2 linked regions of the Lonchura striata genome follow. The protein of the gene in region 2 interacts with the protein of the main gene of each other region in a biochemical or structural test. Links are inferred from orthologs where the notes say so. Each region holds a gene or a part of one and is shown on either strand. Other genes may lie near its edges.

Region 1 (7,974 bases), on a different chromosome or scaffold from region 2:
TGCAGCTTAAACATCAGAATTCCTGTGCGCCGATCCAATTGTGCAGCTAAACTCAGCCATTGAATTCTTGTCGGTACAATAAACCCAATGACATCTTCCAATGCTGCTGCTGCTTTGGGATCAGCGGGTGAGAAGCTCTCCATGCACCATGGCACCCAAATGCTCTACGTTCATTCTGAGCTCTGCTTTCTATTCACCGGTGGGTTTCAGTTCCTCTGCTCAGAGCCAGCTCACATCTTCCTTCCTGTAGCGTTCTCAGCTTTGCTCGTTGGATGAGGGAATAGGAGATGTAGTTAAAAATACTGCGCTGCTGTGGTGGGCGGTGTAGCAGAAATAGACAGACACCAGCTCACTGCGAAGAATACCAAGTAATATCCCAGCAAGATAAAGGCATAGCAACAAAAGAAGAGCAAATGCATTTGTGCTCTGCCACTAGAGAGCTAAATCTGGGCGGAAGATACCAAATGAGGAGTACTGCTCGTGGCCAAGTGCATCCTCCTGATGGCTTCACGTGCACAGTCATCTTACAGCAGATCATAAAAGCACGGCTTAGGAACAATCCTGCCTCCAATTATAACCCATTATATGCGATCTTTGGGATTTTATGAAGACAGCGCAGGAATCAGCAATAAAAAGAGCCCAACCCACAGCACACAGAAATCAGAAGCCCATATGGACTGAGAAGGGGCTTAGCTCCATTAACCCTGCTTTAAAAGCAAAGTTTTTCAGGGGATATTAGGTTCTTTCCAAAAGGAAGATAAACCAAGCTTGGCTATACAAGAAGCTGTAAGATTATTCTATGGATTTACTCCCTGTTTTGTCAGAGGCTTAAGTCTCTCTTCATCCAGCCAGTAACCACATAGGAAAGATATCATCCCAAAGGGCTTTACGAAGTTTTTCACAAACAGTACACCAGAGTCACTTCTAGTCTTTAAGTGAGACAATTCTTCAGAGAGGTCCAGCAGCTGTTTAACACTTCACAAAAATAACTTGGCACCATTTCACCAGGGAAGTGAAGATGGCTGCATCAAAATGAAGTCAGAGGGGAACTTGGGTGGCCTGACTGCAGTGATGCCTCTTGGCATAGGCTCAGGGTGCCACAGCCCACACCACCCATCTGGAGAGTCCTGCAGGTCTTGAAAAGCCAGTGTGGAGACAGAAAAAAGCCAGCAGAGTAACACAGAAAGATGTCATGGTTGTGTCTGCATAAGAAGGCACCACTGGGCTCCCCACATCTGGGGACACCTGGGTACTCAAGGCCTGTGGGTGCACTGGAGGATGGAACAGCCCTGCTGCTCCAACACACACGTGAGCATCCACTTCAGGTTAAGGCCAAGGTGAGAGATGAGTGCAAGCCTGTGTTTTGTGCACATGGAAGATGGGGACCTTTGGACGAGAGTGGGGCAACCCTGGAGCTGGGGGCCTTAGGCCAGAGAAGAGTTCCCTCTGCTGCTACAGCCACTTTGCTTCCAGGAGCCCCTGGCAGGGAGGCTTCCACCCCACTGCTCAACTAGACATCTTTTAAATCTTTATCTTGCAAGATTTGTTTTGATGCCATCAAAATCTAAAATAGCCACAGGCACGAGAATAATCATACTATTAAAAAAACCCCATCAACATGAAGATGCAACCTCAACAAAACACCACAGAAATTCCTAATAAAATAAATGCCATTTAAATGCTGCTATACATAAACACCAGCCCTACCAGTGCAACACTTAAAAGAAAATGTCTAGCAGTCTGCACATCAAATGTTAATACTATTTTCAAGTCAAGTCCAAGAGAGGATGACACATAATTTAATAAGCCTAATGGGTGTGTAATCAGCATTTGACCATTCCTGCCATAAAAGTAGGTGCCTTTCTAGCCCAAGATGTCTAGGAAAGCCACTGAAAGACAGCTAAGAATTTAAAAGCAAAATTTTAAAAGCATCCTTTTTTTTTTTTTTTTTTTTTTTTTCTCATTGGAGATTTATTGAAAATTTCACTCAGTTAAGAACAGGACCCAACGAACTGGCAGAAATACAAACAACTCCATGGGCACAGTAAGTTTCACAGTAAGTTTGGGGCACAATTCACCTTAATTTACTGCCAACAATCAGCAATGTCAAGATTCCAAGCATCTCCTGACAGCCCTGACAACAGCAGTTACACAGCATTATCTAGTCTTCTAGTAAAATCTTTCCCCTCAGACAGCATTCATGCTGCATTTCACAGCAGCAGGAATATACACAGTCAGCCTGGATCTCCTCAGCCCTTGCAGCTAGAATCAGAACATTTTGGGGAGAGGGGGTGTCCTGTACCTGCTTTTGCCGCTTTTGCCACCACTCAAAAACAGAACTGAGCAGCAAGTGACAAAATAATGGAAATTGCCAATATATTTGCCTAACAAAAGGCAGAAATAATCTTAAAAATATCTAATCTGAGGGTAGAAAGTTTCATTTTAAGGTTTTTGATAAAGAATGCTCATTGTGTTTAGAAAGAGAATCCATCATCTCCTCTAGTTACATACTTGGTCAAACAATCCATTTTTTTGAATCAAAAAGAAAGATTAATTTTAAGATGCATTATAATAACAGTACACAAACGTATCACAATGTGATGCCTAGTGCTGTTTCAATGTTGTCACCATTTTATCTGGACAATTTTCATTACACAAGTTATAACAACTGAACACATTAAGCAAAAAAAATTTTTACAAAAAGTGAGACACTCCCCACCCCACAACTACTGACCAGAAATTTTCAAGTCCCAAACTGCATAGGAAAATTACTGTCTGTTAGTGAGTGTAGAAATTCTGTTTCATGTCTTCAAATATCTGTTGGGGTTTTAATAGACTTCAATACTTGCATAAGGATGGAGTTATACTGGGGGTGGGGATGGAGGAGGAGAGGGGGCAGAGGCAATACCGAGCAGAACCAATATCAAATAAAAAGTGCTAATTTTATATTCTAGCAATCACAGTTGCTCAAATGTTTGCAAGCTACAAACCAACCCCATCAAACTAAACAATATTCTTATTTTAAATATAATTCATAAGTAATTCTGCAGCTACAAGGTTATGAAAAAGACATGTATACTCTGCAGCAGCATATAAAATATAATCCTATGTACAATCCAAGCATCAATTTTCTCTTCTCTATCACCATCAGTATTTTATCTTGGAGGAGCATCTGTCAGATTCTCCAGGACTAAAAATAGCAAAGACCCTTTTAAAGAGAACAGTTTCTGGTTTATATTTATAACTACCCTGTACTCGCTGCTTCTGGCTGCATGGCTATGAAATTTGTGCAAGATATAATCAATTACCCAGCTTTGCACTTCATCATGCAGTTAAGCTACCGTTACCTGCAACGAACCCTTCAAGCACTTCTCCCCATGCACAGGGTAGAGATTCTAAAACACAATAAATATCTGCACATTGACGAACTAACTGTAGAGCTGACTGACATTACACAGCAAAAACCTTGTGAGAACAAAAACCAAGCACACTGATGTATAAAACAGAGAGCCTACCTGAATTCTTCAAATGCATACATGGCCTAGCAACTACACAAAAGCTCTGAAATTTAAAATAATCTTCTTAACGTGCAGAGGACCATTTAGTTTGTCAAACTGCAGCAAAATGCATAATGACGAGACAGTATATTTGGAATATTCTGAGGAGAAAGGGTATGCAGATACTGGCCTGCAGCCTACAGCTCAGCCAGCTGCTGACAAGCAGCAGCTAACAGGAAAAGGCGATAGAGTACCATGTGATCATTCCTGCAAGTCTGATTAATGCAGTATACTCCAAGAATACAGGCTGATATCTTTATTATTCAAGCCAAATAAGTCAAATATGGTACACGACAGGCTTCATCGCTAAATTATCATTCACATGCTACATCAAAATCAACAAGCACAAGCAGAGGATAATAAAAAACTAAATATATATCGTAACAGAAGAGATTAATTAGGCCCATTCAAGCTGATTTTCTTACCTTGTAGCGGTATTTTAGTCTGTTTTTATTCATCTAAACCATCAGTGATGGAACAAAAGACTCCATCCACAAACCTCCCCTTCCATGAATGCCAGAACATTTAAAGTAGTTTATCTGCTAGAAATCATTTCCTCTGTAGTCTATTCCCAACCACTTTAACTCCTTCAGCCCTGAACTCATTGCCATAAACCCTATTTGCAGGGCCGTGCGGGCTTTCTAGGGTTTACAGGGTTAACACCAAGAAATCGCAGCAGTGCAAGTGAATGAAGTGGGATAAGAGCCAAAGGAGTCATATCTGCGAGATCACAGAAGGGAGATGGGCATGAGGAAAGTTGAGCATTTCGTGGCATTGCGGTGTGCAGGCGAGGATGCTTCAGCTGCCTAGCAACAGCGCACGCAATCTCCATGGCAACAGCGCAGCCAGCGCAGGGGGCAGAGCATCCGCTGCGCACCCCGGGGGCGACACGCGGGGACAAGCCCGGCGACACGGCCGCCAAAAGCCAGGCCCGGGGCAGCGGGAGGCACGGGGCACGCCGGGCTCGGGGGAGCCCCGGCCGCGCTCCGGAGCGGCTCGGCCAGGCACGGCACGGCCGCGCCTCGGAAACACCGGCCCGGCAGCCGGGCGTGCGGAGCTGGAGCGAACACTGCGCACCGCGCCGGGGAACGCACCCCGACGGCGGCAGCCAGAGCTCTCCACCCCCGCAGCAATCCCGTGGGAATTCTGGACATGCGGGAGTCGCACCCCATCGCCCGTTTGCTGAGGGACTGCACGGGTGTTAGCTGTGAGGCTGCAGGGGCTCTGCCCGGCGGCCAGGTCAGCGGCGGGATGGGAGGTTGAACCCCGGGGCCGGGCACGCTGCGCCAGCCTCAGCATCAGCCACCACAGCCTGCGGCCACCCAGCACTGCCTGCTGGCTGGAGAGAAGGTGAAAGGTGAGGGCTCCTGGAAATGAGGGAGATTCTAATCCTGGGAAATCAACCCCAGCCCTGGGAAGAAGAGAGAACGAGGCTGTGGGAGAATATGCTGCATGGGAAAGTCGCAGGGAGACAGCAAATTCAAAGCTACCTCTGGGGCTGCCCCCCTCCTTGACTTGCCTCTTTTACTGCTAGGGCTGGTTTCTAGCACAAGGAAACACAAGGAGGATTTTGGCTGGAGTCTGAAATAGCCAAACCAAACTACAGCTCCTGAGATTTACATGCTCTAAGGCAATGGCTGTCCCACTGAGCTGTGGGATTTGGAGACTGGAAAAGCATCCACAGGGTACAGACTGCCACATCTCCTAGACACAGTGATTGGGTCCAGGCCATGGTAACTGTGGCATCTGACCTCATGGCTCTGAGAAATACAGGCAAAAAGGGCTGGGATGAAAGGAAAAGGCACTCATGGCAAAAAAACCCCAGCACTGGAAACAAACAAACAAAAAAAAAAAAAGTCACATTAATTTGAGACATAGTGATTTTAATGTAGTAGTGACCTTGGGTTTCATTTTATTTCCTTTAAACAAATGTGATAGTGTTAAGTGACAATAAAGGCACGCCGTAGGAACACTAAAACACATGCAGTCACACCATCTGACAGAAATTAATTCTTCCACAAGCATCCAGCAAGAGAAGGACTGCAAGGTAGGTGATTCTGGCTACAGCCTAATAAAAGATTAAAATTGGCAGAGAAAAGAACAACGCAGCCGTCAGAAGAAGCCGCCTGCCATATTTAGGCTGACTTCACCACAAGTATGCTCACTGTATACAGCACCCAAGCAGCTGGGCACGGGAGAGGTACCCCTTGCAAGCAATTTTTCTGCTCCTGACCTTGTAGGAAATAGTTTTATACCTTCAGAGCTAGCCAACATCCCTCATGGAGGAAGGACAGAATTCTGAGCTTCTCTTTTCTCGCTCACCACAATCTTTCTCTAGCTTGAATCAAGTAGAAAAGGGCTAGTTTTCACTTAAAACATGCTTCTTTTTTATGGTGTTTATTTAAAATAAAACCATTCTACAGAATTAAGAGCAAACATACTGCTTCCCCTAAGCATTCTTCTTGAAACAAACTTGACAGAATCACTATTGAGTCTTCCAATTTCTGCAGTTTCTCAACAGCCACAATGCAATGAAATAGTTAACTGTTCAAGTCAAGGCTTCTGTCATCAGTGGGTTCACTGTGAAGGACTAGAAAAGCAAACATCCTCCACAAAGTTTTCATATACAGTAGAGGTCAGCTGTTGAAAGGTTTCATTGGGATAACATTTTAACTTTTTTTTTTCTTGGCTAGCACTTTCACAACAGCTGACAGCATTACACACAGAAACAGCAGGACTTCTGTCATGTGAAACAACCAATAGTCTCAATTCTGATTCATTAATTACTAGGATTCCCATATTCAATAGTAAGATCTGAGACCATCATGTCCTCCTGTAGACATGAATGAGCCTCAGCATGAAAATTTACCAAACAGAACACACAGGGGCTTCAGAAAGTCACATGAACACATGCAATGGCCAAATTAGGCCACATAAATAAATGCAAGGCTGTAATACTTCCTTATAACTTTTAACCAAGGCTGTAACTTCCTGTGCCATAAACCAGACTGAAGATCTTGAGAAGCAGACAGAAATTATGTCAGAAACCACAATCAGCAATGACATTTTTCACAAGAAGCTGTTTATTCCCTTCCTGGCAGTATAACCAGTCCAGACATTTGATGACAAATGTCCCTCTCTTTACCAGAAACTGAAATTATGTCACATGAAAGAAGAATTTACTAAAGATTGAGTGGGATAATTTATATAATGAGAACTGTGGGACCCAGACCCCACCTTCTGATCAGAGGCCAAAAAGATGTGACATTGAGTGTCCCTCCCACTGAAGACAAGCAGAAGGTTTTGGGAAACACTTTGCAATTTTAATGTTGGGCTCTAACAAACAAGAGAGACGATAATAGAAGTGGTTATCCTTGGTGAAAGCTTGTCTAAAAAGCAAAGGATGCAAAAAAAGCCTGGAAGTATGACAAACCAGAACAAGGCAGAGGATATGGTGAAATTTCTTGTTTTATCTGGCATTTCACTGCCATCCAAGGGCCTCATGCTGCTACTCTGCTAAGAGCCCAATATCCTCAAGTGTAACATCTTGCATTATTGTTATTTAGCATATCAATGTATCAGTATTTGTCCTCCTGACCTGAAATTCCACCAAAGCCTTTGCCAGATGCTTGGTGACATTATCTGATCACAGACAGACATTTTAATGAAATAACTACTTATTCCCTTGCTCAAGAAAGGAAGAAAGCCACTAACACAGTGGACTTCTGTCACTAAGCCTGCATTACCATTATGCTGAAGTAATATTCAGACCACACTAAAAAAAACCCTGCAACTGTGCTGAAAAATTCAGCATTCACTTCAATTCATGAGGAAGAAAACAAAAAGAAGGGAAATGAGCCAACAAGAGCATATCTAATGAGTGTTCATTCACTGCATCTCCAAAATTACTGCACAGAGGAAAATGTAGCAATCACAGGCAGCATCCCAGAATATACTCAAAAATCTCCTTTCAACAGGATTGTCTCTGAATTCAAACATCTTTCCTGAGCTTAAAAAAATAAGATTTTAAATGTTTATTGAAACAGAAAAGGAGTGGCTACCTTAGTTTGTTCAGGTACTGGAGAAATTGTAAAAATAATTGCAGTGCCCTTAAGTTTACAGAACAAGGATGTGTTCAGTATTGGAGTATTGACTCAAAACTTCAGCTGTTAAAGAGGAATATGGGTGGGGCAAGAATGAACTTTTTTTCCCCCTTCTTTTATCAATGGTATTTCTATTATATGTTGCATTAAAATACAATGTGAATTTTGATGCACAAGGAAAATCCAACATACTTCAGGCTTCTTCTTTCACTCTCAGGTTTTCAGATTGACCATAAAAGCTTGATTTTCTGATGTCAACCTTCACCAAAAAAATCCTACCTCATTTATACATCTTGGAATTATCACAGCCCATG
Region 2 (8,469 bases):
CAAGCCCCATGGGGGTCCCACACACGGCGATCCCCCCATCCCTGCACCCCACGTGCACAGGATCCCCAGCCTCTGCAGACACCAGAACCCCGTGCCCTCTACACCGGACACCAGTGCCACCTCAAGCTCCACACCCGTGGGCATCCCCGTGCCCCAACCCCACCCGTGCCCCCCACCTGCTGCCATGCCGCCCCACGCCCCACACGCGGATGCCGCCCACGGGCTGTGCATGCAGCAGGGCCCGGTCCTGGGGGTCCACCAGCTTCAGCGTGCGGTCCTCCAGCAGCAGCAGTGCCCGTGCCTGGGGGCACAGGAGGCTCAGGAGGGTGTTCCACTCCCCCAGGTACCAGGGGAGCAGTGGGGAGGGTGTGGGATGGGTTTGGGGCACACAGGGGGCTCTGGGGTCACTCACCAGGTGCTGCGGGAGCAGCACAGAGGGTGTGGGATGGGTTTGGGGCACACAGGGGGCTCTGGGGTCACTCACCAGGTGCCGGGGAAGCAGCACAGAGGGTGTGGGATGGGTGTGGGGCACAGGGGGCTCTGGGGTCACTCACCTCCCCCCAGGTGCCGGGGGGGCCCTGGCGAGGCCCCGAGAGCTGCCGGATGCAGGCGCTGACAGCGCTGCTGCTGCGGCCCGGGCCCAGCTCCTCCTCCCGCAGCTGCACCCAGCCCAGAGAGCGCACCGGGAGGCCCTGGGGGCAAGGGGGGAACGGGAGTCAGTGGGGGATGTGTGGGGCTGGCTGTGGGGCAAGGATGGCATGGGCTAGGGAGAAGGGAGTGATGCGGGGCAGGAAAGACATGGAGCATGAGGGGCTGTGGGGCAGAGATGTGAGGGGCAGGGGGGCAGGCTCAGCTCCCCAGCAGTACGCTGGCCCCTCAGCACCCCACTCTGCACAGCCCCGGGCCCTCGGCAGGGTAGACCCCACAGAGGGGCAGGGCCAGGCCCCTCCCGTGCAGGGACAGCCTGGGGCATCCCTGCGCTGGTGCCTCAGCCCCCGGCAGGGCACCAGGCAGTGCACCAGACCCCACAGCAGTGGGGAAGGGGCCCTGTGGGCTGGGAGGGTCAGCAGAGACTGGCCCTACCTTGGAGTCCAGTACATCCTCCTCGCCCAGGGCCATGCTGCAAGGGGAAGGGTGGAGGTGTCAGCGACTGCACCCTGTGTCTGGGGCCTCTTCACCCCCAAACCCTGTCCCTGAAAGACCTCTGGGATCCCTCGCATCCTATACCTGGGTCATTGCACCTTGAGCAACCCGGACTTTCCCCTCCAAACACCTGCCTTGAGATCCTGAGAGTCCCTCAAGTCCAACCCCATCCTGAGACCACATTTCCCTGCCCCACACCTGGGTCCCTGCCCCCCTCAGCTCCACTTCACCCCGAACACCCTCTCTCAATTCTGTTGCTTGTCACCCAGTGTCCCACATCCCGACAGGCACAGCTCTGCCTGTGAGTCCCCCCAGTCCCTGTGCCCCCCACTCACCCCTCTCCTGGTGATCCTGGGCCTGGTGACAGCATCTCCAGGTCTGACACTCCTGGCTCTTCATCTTCCTCTTCCTCTTCCTCCTCCTCCTCCTCAGCCGTGGGGTCCTAGGGGCAAGGGGGCTCTGTGGGGTTGGGAGGGCACTGACCCCCCACCCTTTCCCATCCACTACCCCCTCTCACCTTCCACAAGTGCCCATCATTGAAGGTCTCAGCCGGGGCAAAGCTCGTCCAGGAAAGCTGCAGGGGGCTGGGTCAGGGTGCTCCATAGGGCAGCCCCCCAGTCACCCCACAAGTGCCCCACGGTTCCCCCCCCCGTCACCCCACAGCACACTGTGGGAGCCCCACGGTAACCCAAGGGCCACAGGTGCCCTGCGCCCCACACAACCACCCCACCATCATGTCCCAGCTACCCCATGCCCCATAGCCACCCCCGTGGCCCCGCAGCAGCTGCAGGACCACCTCCCAGTGCAAGCCCAGTCCTCTTAGTGCCGACTCACGGTGGGCCCCTCGGTGGGGGTGCTGCCATCGGAAGGGCTCTCGTGGGGCCCGCCGGGAGGCTCCCACTGGGTGGTACCAGTGGGGACGTGCCAGTAGTAGGTGCCCGAGGTGTCCTGCACCCTCAGCCAGCCGGGGGGCAGGTCCCCGTGTGCTCCCGCGCCACATGGCCACAGCGACTCTGCGGGGCAGGGGGCCAGAGGGGTCAGCCCCAGCCCCACGCAGCCCCCCGTGCCCAGGGACACGGGGATGGCCCAACAGGGCTCCACAGGGACAAGGGAACATGGAAATAATGGGGGCTGGTGACACAGCACAGTGCCCGGGGGCTGGGGGACCAGGGAGCGGGAATGGCTCCGGAGGCTGAGAGTGTAAGAGTGGGCACACAGCCAGGGACCGGGGAGATGTGGAGCAGATAGGAGCACGGGGACACGGCAGGAAGGAGCGGGTGGGAGCAGCCATCGGGCTCTGTGGGGCAGCCAGAGATTGTCAGAAGTCAGAAGCCTCCATGGGGCAGCTGCGGGACAGCGAGAGCTCACCGTGGGGCTCCACAAGTCCCTGGGGCTCCACCGGTGCCCACCTGGCTCATCGGGGGAGCTGCCGGGGCTGCCCTGGCTCAGCGTGGCCCAGCTCGAGTCCTCGTCGCTGCCGGGGCCGGGCCCCCCGAAGAGGCGGCTGGCGCTGCGCCCCGGCGGCTCCCGCAGGCCCCGCTCCGTGCCCAGAGCCGGCGGAGAGACCCCGGCCCCGTCCTCCTCCTCCTCGTCCTCCTCCTCATCCTCCTCCTCCTCCTCCTCCTCCTCCGAGGCGCCGATCAGCAGCGCCCGCGGGTTCCCGGCGGCGTTCCGGGCATTGCGGGCCCGCAGCCCCGGCTCGAGGGCCCCGGGGCACTCCCCGTGCGCCCCGGGGGAGCGCCCCGGCCCCGGCCCCGGCTCCAGCTCGTTGCGGTTCTGATCCTGCCCGGCCTTCGCCCACCCGGCGCCGGGCAGCTCCTCGGCCGGGCCGCCGGGGCCGGTGCGGGGCTCGGGGGGCGCCGCCAGCCCCAGGCTCAGCCCCGGGCACCGGTTGTCGTTGGCCAGGTCGCTGCGCTTGCTCAGGGCCCCCGACATGGCGCGGGGACCGGCGGGACCCCCGGCAGGGCCCGGCCCGGCTGCCGGTGCTGGGGAGGAGGGCGGGGGGGTCCTACAGCCCCCGGGGCGCCGCCGCGTCCATCGGGCCTGCGGGGAGCGGGGCTGCACCGGGACCCCGGCCACGGACGCTCCGCGGCCCCGGGTCCTCCCAAGGACTCGGCACCCCCCGCAGCCCTCCCCGGCCCCGGGCGGCCTTCCCCAGCACCGGCATCCCCCGCGGCCCCGGCATCCCGCCCGGCCCCGGGGCCCCCGCCGGCTCCTCCACGAGCACAACCCCCGGGGTCGCCCCGCCACTCCCCCGGCCCGGGGTCCCGCCGCGTCCGCCCCACGGCCCTGCCCGGGGAGATCCCACCGGGACCCCGCGCTGCGGAGCTCCGCGCTGCCCCCGGCCCAGCCCCCGGGGGTCTGCACGGGCCCGGCCCGCCCGCCCCCAGCGCTGTCCGCTGCGCGGCGGGGCCGGCCCGTGCCCCGTGCGCTGCCCCCGCTCGCTGCCGGTACCTGCGGCGGCCGCTCCGCTGCCGGGGGTCGCGGGGGAGGGTGGGGGGCTCGGGGCGCGTCACTTCCACTTCCGGCACCGGCCGGCGGGGACAGCGCCGCCACCGGCACCGGCACCGCACGGGACCACCGGCACCGGCCCCGGCCGGGACCACCGGCACCTCTCCGGACCCTCCCCGGCACCGGCAACACCGGATACCGCCGAGTACCCCCCGGGACCGGGAGCCCCAGGCCTTGCCGGAACGGGGGACCTTCCCCCCGGTGATACTCCCGGGGCAGGTGACCCCGACACTGCCCGTGCCCGCCCCAGGGTTCCGGCTGTTCCGAGCGGGCAGCGGGAGCCCGGTGCCATGGACCAGTTCAGCCCAGTTGAATCCCCGGTTACTCCTGCGGCATCCCCCAAGGCGTGGGCGCCGCCGGTTTCCGCCCCGCTGCCCCCTCACCGGCACCGGACGGGGCCGGGGCAGCACTGGGACTCCCTGCGGCTGCTGTGCCCCCGGAACCCCCCAAAACCCCTGCTGGACCGGGAGGGTCTCGGAGCTCCCGGCTCTTACCAGCCCCGGAGGGGAGCGGGGCATCCGGGGGCAGCGATGGTGGCACAGGGTGTGCGGGGTCCCTGCAGCCTGCGGGCACCTGTCTGACCCTCTGCAGGATCACAGACATTCCGTTTGGTAAGGCCTGCAAGGCTGGGTCCAACCTGTGCCTGATCCCACCTTGTCCCCAGCCCAGAGCACTCAGTGCCACCTCCAGGGGACACCTGCAGGGATGGGCACTCCAAAGCTCCCTGGGCAGCCTCTTCCAGAATGTGGCAGCCCTTTCCATGAGAAAATTCCTCCTGATGTCCAACCTGAACCTTCCTAAGTACAACTAGTGGACATTTCCTCTTGCCCTGTCACTTGTTTCCGGGGAAGGTCCCCCGTGAGCCTCGTTTTCTCCAGGCTGAGCCCCTTCCCAGCTCCCTCAGCCCCTCCTGGGGCTCCAGCCCATTCCCAGCTCTGTTCCCTGCCCTGGTCACGCTCCAGCCCCTCCAGGTCTCTCTTGCCTAGAACTGGACAGAGCCCTGGAGGTGCCACAGAGTGCCCAGCACAGGAGACAATCCCTGCCCTGGGGCTGTGCCCACCCTGGGGCTGGCACAGCCAGGGGCCATGGGCCTCTCACCCACCTGGGCTGGTGTCTAGTCCCTGTGACCAGCACCACCAGGGCCATTTCCAGCCTCCCAGCCCTCTGCCCAGCCTGGGGTGTTGCAGGGGTTTGGTGACCCAAGAGGAAGACCCAGCATGGGCCCTTGGTGACCCTCATGCTGTTGGCCTTGGCCCATCAGTCCAGCCTGGCCAGACCCCTCTGGGATCCTTCAGCACATCCACATCCCAACCAACCACGTGTGGTCCATGGACTCACTGAGGACAAGCTCCAGCCAGATCGCTGACAGCTCTGTGGGACAGCGCTGGCCCCAGCAGAGCCCTCGGAGCCCACCCCAGCAGTGCCTGTCCCCTCCAATGGGGCCCCATTCCCACCCCTCCCTGGGCCTGGCCCTCAGCCGGCTGCTCCCAGCAAGGAGCACCTGTCCCAGCCAGGCTGCATGTGCTCTGTGAGGTGCCAGGGAGACAGAGGTGGTGCCAAAGGCTTTGCTGAGCTTCAAGCGGGCACACCCACACCTGTCCCACAGCCACCAGGTCATCCTGTCCCAGCAGGAGACCGAGTGGGTGAGGCAGGACCTGCTGTTCCCAACCCCAGCTGAACCTGATCACCTGGTTGTCCTGCCCATGCTGTGGGGACTCACAGCTGATCTGTACTAGGGCCTTCCCAGCATCAGGACCAGGAACAGGCGTGGACATGCCTGGATCCTCCCTCCAGCCCTGCTTGGGAATAGAGTCACTGGCCACCTCTGGGGCCTGGGACCCCCCAGGGGATGATGAGCAGGGTCTAGGTGAGCTCTGCTGCTGTCCAGGATCCCCCATGGATGGCCAGAGCTGGCGAGGACAGGAGGAGCAGCTCTGTGACCCCCCCACAGCCCCTGTGGTATGCCCAGGGATCCACTGGCCCCAGGGACCTGCGGGGTCTGAGCAGCTCAGCAGGTCATTGACCACTTTCTCCTGGGTACACGGACCAGTATGGACCAGTTCCTACTCCTAGAACAGACCAGTCTGACCCCATGTCAGTATAGACCAGTCTGACCCAGTATGAGTACAGACCAGTCCAACGCAAACCCTGCTGCCAGCATAGACTAGCTTGACCCAACAGAGACCAGTCTTACCCTGTCCCCACTCCCAGTCTGTCCCTGTCCCTGCAGATGGGTCAGTGCTGGCAGAACGCCCAGGCCAGGCAGGCGCCCGTGGTGCCACTGAGCTCCAGGCACCATTCCTGTCCCTGCTTGGCCTGGCACTGCCTGGGGGCGTCCAGCGCAGCTGGGAGAGCCCGCAGGCCATGGGGGCTCTAGGGCAGGGTGTGTGAAAGACAGGCAGGGCTACGGGGCAGCACGGGGCCAGGGTACTTCCAGAATACTTTATTTTGTACATACAGTTTTGTCAGCGTGCGGCAGCTGCCCCACAACCCCTGGAGCCCCCCAGAGCCATGGAGCAGCAGTGCAGTGGGGCAGCAGGCACACACAGTCACCCCACAGTTGGGGAGGGGACCTGGGGAGGTGGGGGTCGCCCTCAAGGGGCATGGAACTCTGGACTGACCACCCCACAGCCCCCCACAAGCCCTTCCAGCAGCTCCCCCTGCCCCTCACACCCCCCACACCTTGGGAACCCTGTCAGCAGGGGCAGTGGGATGCTGGCCCTGCCATGGGTGAGGGGCCAGACTATGACCCTCAGGCAGCCCCCACCCCACGGGACCCTTCCTCACCCCCCCCCAGGCCCGGCTGCCCCCTGGGATAAAGTGCACATGAAGCCAGGATGGCGCTCGGGGGGCAGGCGAGGCTGCGGGGCAGCCGTCGCCCCACGCGCCCCGCTGCAGCTGCAGGTCCCTCCTGCCCGCAGCCGTGCCCGCGGTGTCATGCCCGTCACTGCAGGTAGCGATAGGCCTTGAAGCAGTGGTTGCCCGAGTCGGCCACGACAACGTGGCCGTCGGAGGTGAGGGCCAGCCCCTGCGGCCCGTACAGCGGGTCAGCCGCCGTGTTGATGTAGGACAGGAAGGAGCCCGCGCTGTCAAACACCTGTGGGAGGTGCACACAGCTGTGCCCTGGGGCCCATGGCCAGGGACCCCCAGCCCCGATAGCCCCACAGACCTGCAGGATGCACTCCCTGTGGGGGCATGTGCTCAAAATCCCTCCTAGCAGGACAGGGATCCTCCCCTATTCCAAGACCCTTCTCAGTTGCTTCCAGGTGACCCCAGACCCCTTCCCAGTCCATCCCAGTTCCTCTCGGTGCAAAATTCTTCCCAGTTCCTCACAGTTGACCCTACGCCCCCATGGACTGTTCCCAGTTGACCAGAGACCCTTCTTTGTTGCTCCTAGCTGTCTCTAGACCCCTCCCAGCTGATTGCAGACCCTGCACGGACCCTTCCCCCTTGACCCAAGATCCTTTCCAGGTGTTCTCACTTAAACCGAGTTGTGTCCTGGCTCCCTGCAGGTGCCCCACAGCACCTCACAGCACACACCTGGGCTGGGGGGTCAGGGATGGGATGGAGAGGGGAAAGTGCGGAGCCCCACGGGCTGCACTGGGGAGGTGTGTGCAGGTAGAGGTGTGCAGGTGTCTGAGCAGGCACAGGTGTGCAGGCACAGGTCTCTGCGTGTCTGTGCAGGCACAGGTGTCCGTGTGTCTGAGTAGGCACATGGTGTGCAGGTACAGATGTCTGTGTGTCTGTGCAGGCACAGGTGTCCGTGTGTCTGTGCTAGCACAGGTGTCCATGTGTCTGTGCAGGCACAGATGTGCTGGTACGGGTGTCCGTGTGTCTGTGCTGCTACGGGTGTCCATGTGTCTGTGCTGCTATGGGTGTCCATGTGTCTGCACTGGCACGGGTGTCCGTGTGCCTGTGCTGGCACGGGTGTCCGTGTGCCTGCGCTGGCACGGGTGTGGTACCTGGATGCGGCTGTTGCCCCAGTCAGCCACGATGATGTTGCCATTGCTGTCCACGGCCACCCCTGTGGGCGCGTTGAACTGCCCGTTGCCCTCCCCATGCGACCCGAACTTGAACAGGAACTCGCCCTCAGCGTTGTACACCTGGTGGGCAGGGGGCACAACACGTGGGAGTCACGGGGGCCACTGCAGCCCCCCAGCCCTGAGCGCACTAGGGGGCTCTCAGCAGCTGCCTGTGGCTCTGCTCACCTTCACAGAGTGGTTGTGGAAGTCAGTCACCACGATCTCGTTCTTGTTGTTGACAGCCACAAAATGGGGTCCTGAGGAGACAAAGGGGGCTCAGCTCAAATGGAGCACAGGGAACTTATCCCCAGGATTGGCGTCTCAGCCCTGAAGGGAATGATGGGGTTCAGCCCTGGCCTTATGGCAGGGCAAGGATGAATCCAGAGCCCTGAGGTATGGACAGAGTCCAGAACTCAGAGCCCCCAGGATGGAGTCACTGCCAGAATCTGAGCCCAGCGCCCCAACCCAGAACTGAATCCAGAACCCAGACCCACAATCTGTATCCAGAACCAAACCCAGTGCCCCAATCTAGGACACACAGCTCAGGACCCAGACCCAAACCCAGAACCTGGAACCACATACCAGCCTGGGAACCAGAACCAAACCCTGAACTCAAGAGCCTGGGATCTCAGTCCTGAACCAGAACCCAGAGACAGAATCTGGATCACAAGCCCAGAGCACTTAACGTGGTGCTGGACCAAGAACCAGATCCTGGCTCCTTGTCCAGCCCCCGAACTCAAAGCAGAGCTCAGAAAAAAAGTCCCGAGACCAGAACGCGAACCGACAGCCCAGA

What was found. The genes of interacting proteins can lie anywhere in the genome.
Region 1: the proteins of APBB1 (region 2) and EVL form a complex in vitro, tested with the Homo sapiens proteins (2 studies listed by BioGRID). The link is inferred for Lonchura striata from reciprocal best matches to the Homo sapiens genes APBB1 and EVL.

What each region holds. Positions count from the first base shown.
Region 1 is NC_134608.1:12,187,003-12,194,976, forward strand, and holds the start of EVL (ena/VASP-like protein), read right to left. Parts: upstream 3,734-7,974; 5' UTR 3,539-3,733; coding exon 3,516-3,538; intron 1-3,515. UniProt on the Homo sapiens protein: Ena/VASP proteins are actin-associated proteins involved in a range of processes dependent on cytoskeleton remodeling and cell polarity such as axon guidance and lamellipodial and filopodial dynamics in migrating cells.
Region 2 is NC_134604.1:116,947,425-116,955,893, forward strand, and holds the start of APBB1 (amyloid beta precursor protein binding family B member 1), read right to left. Parts: upstream 3,625-8,469; 5' UTR 3,598-3,624; intron 3,187-3,597; 5' UTR 3,079-3,186; coding exon 2,553-3,078; intron 2,157-2,552; coding exon 1,978-2,156; intron 1,718-1,977; coding exon 1,661-1,717; intron 1,586-1,660; coding exon 1,479-1,585; intron 1,121-1,478; coding exon 1,084-1,120; intron 693-1,083; coding exon 555-692; intron 302-554; coding exon 177-301; intron 1-176. Other genes in the region: TRIM3 (tripartite motif-containing protein 3), read right to left, coding at 6,599-6,751, 7,617-7,757, 7,863-7,933. UniProt on the Homo sapiens protein: Transcription coregulator that can have both coactivator and corepressor functions. Adapter protein that forms a transcriptionally active complex with the gamma-secretase-derived amyloid precursor protein (APP) intracellular domain.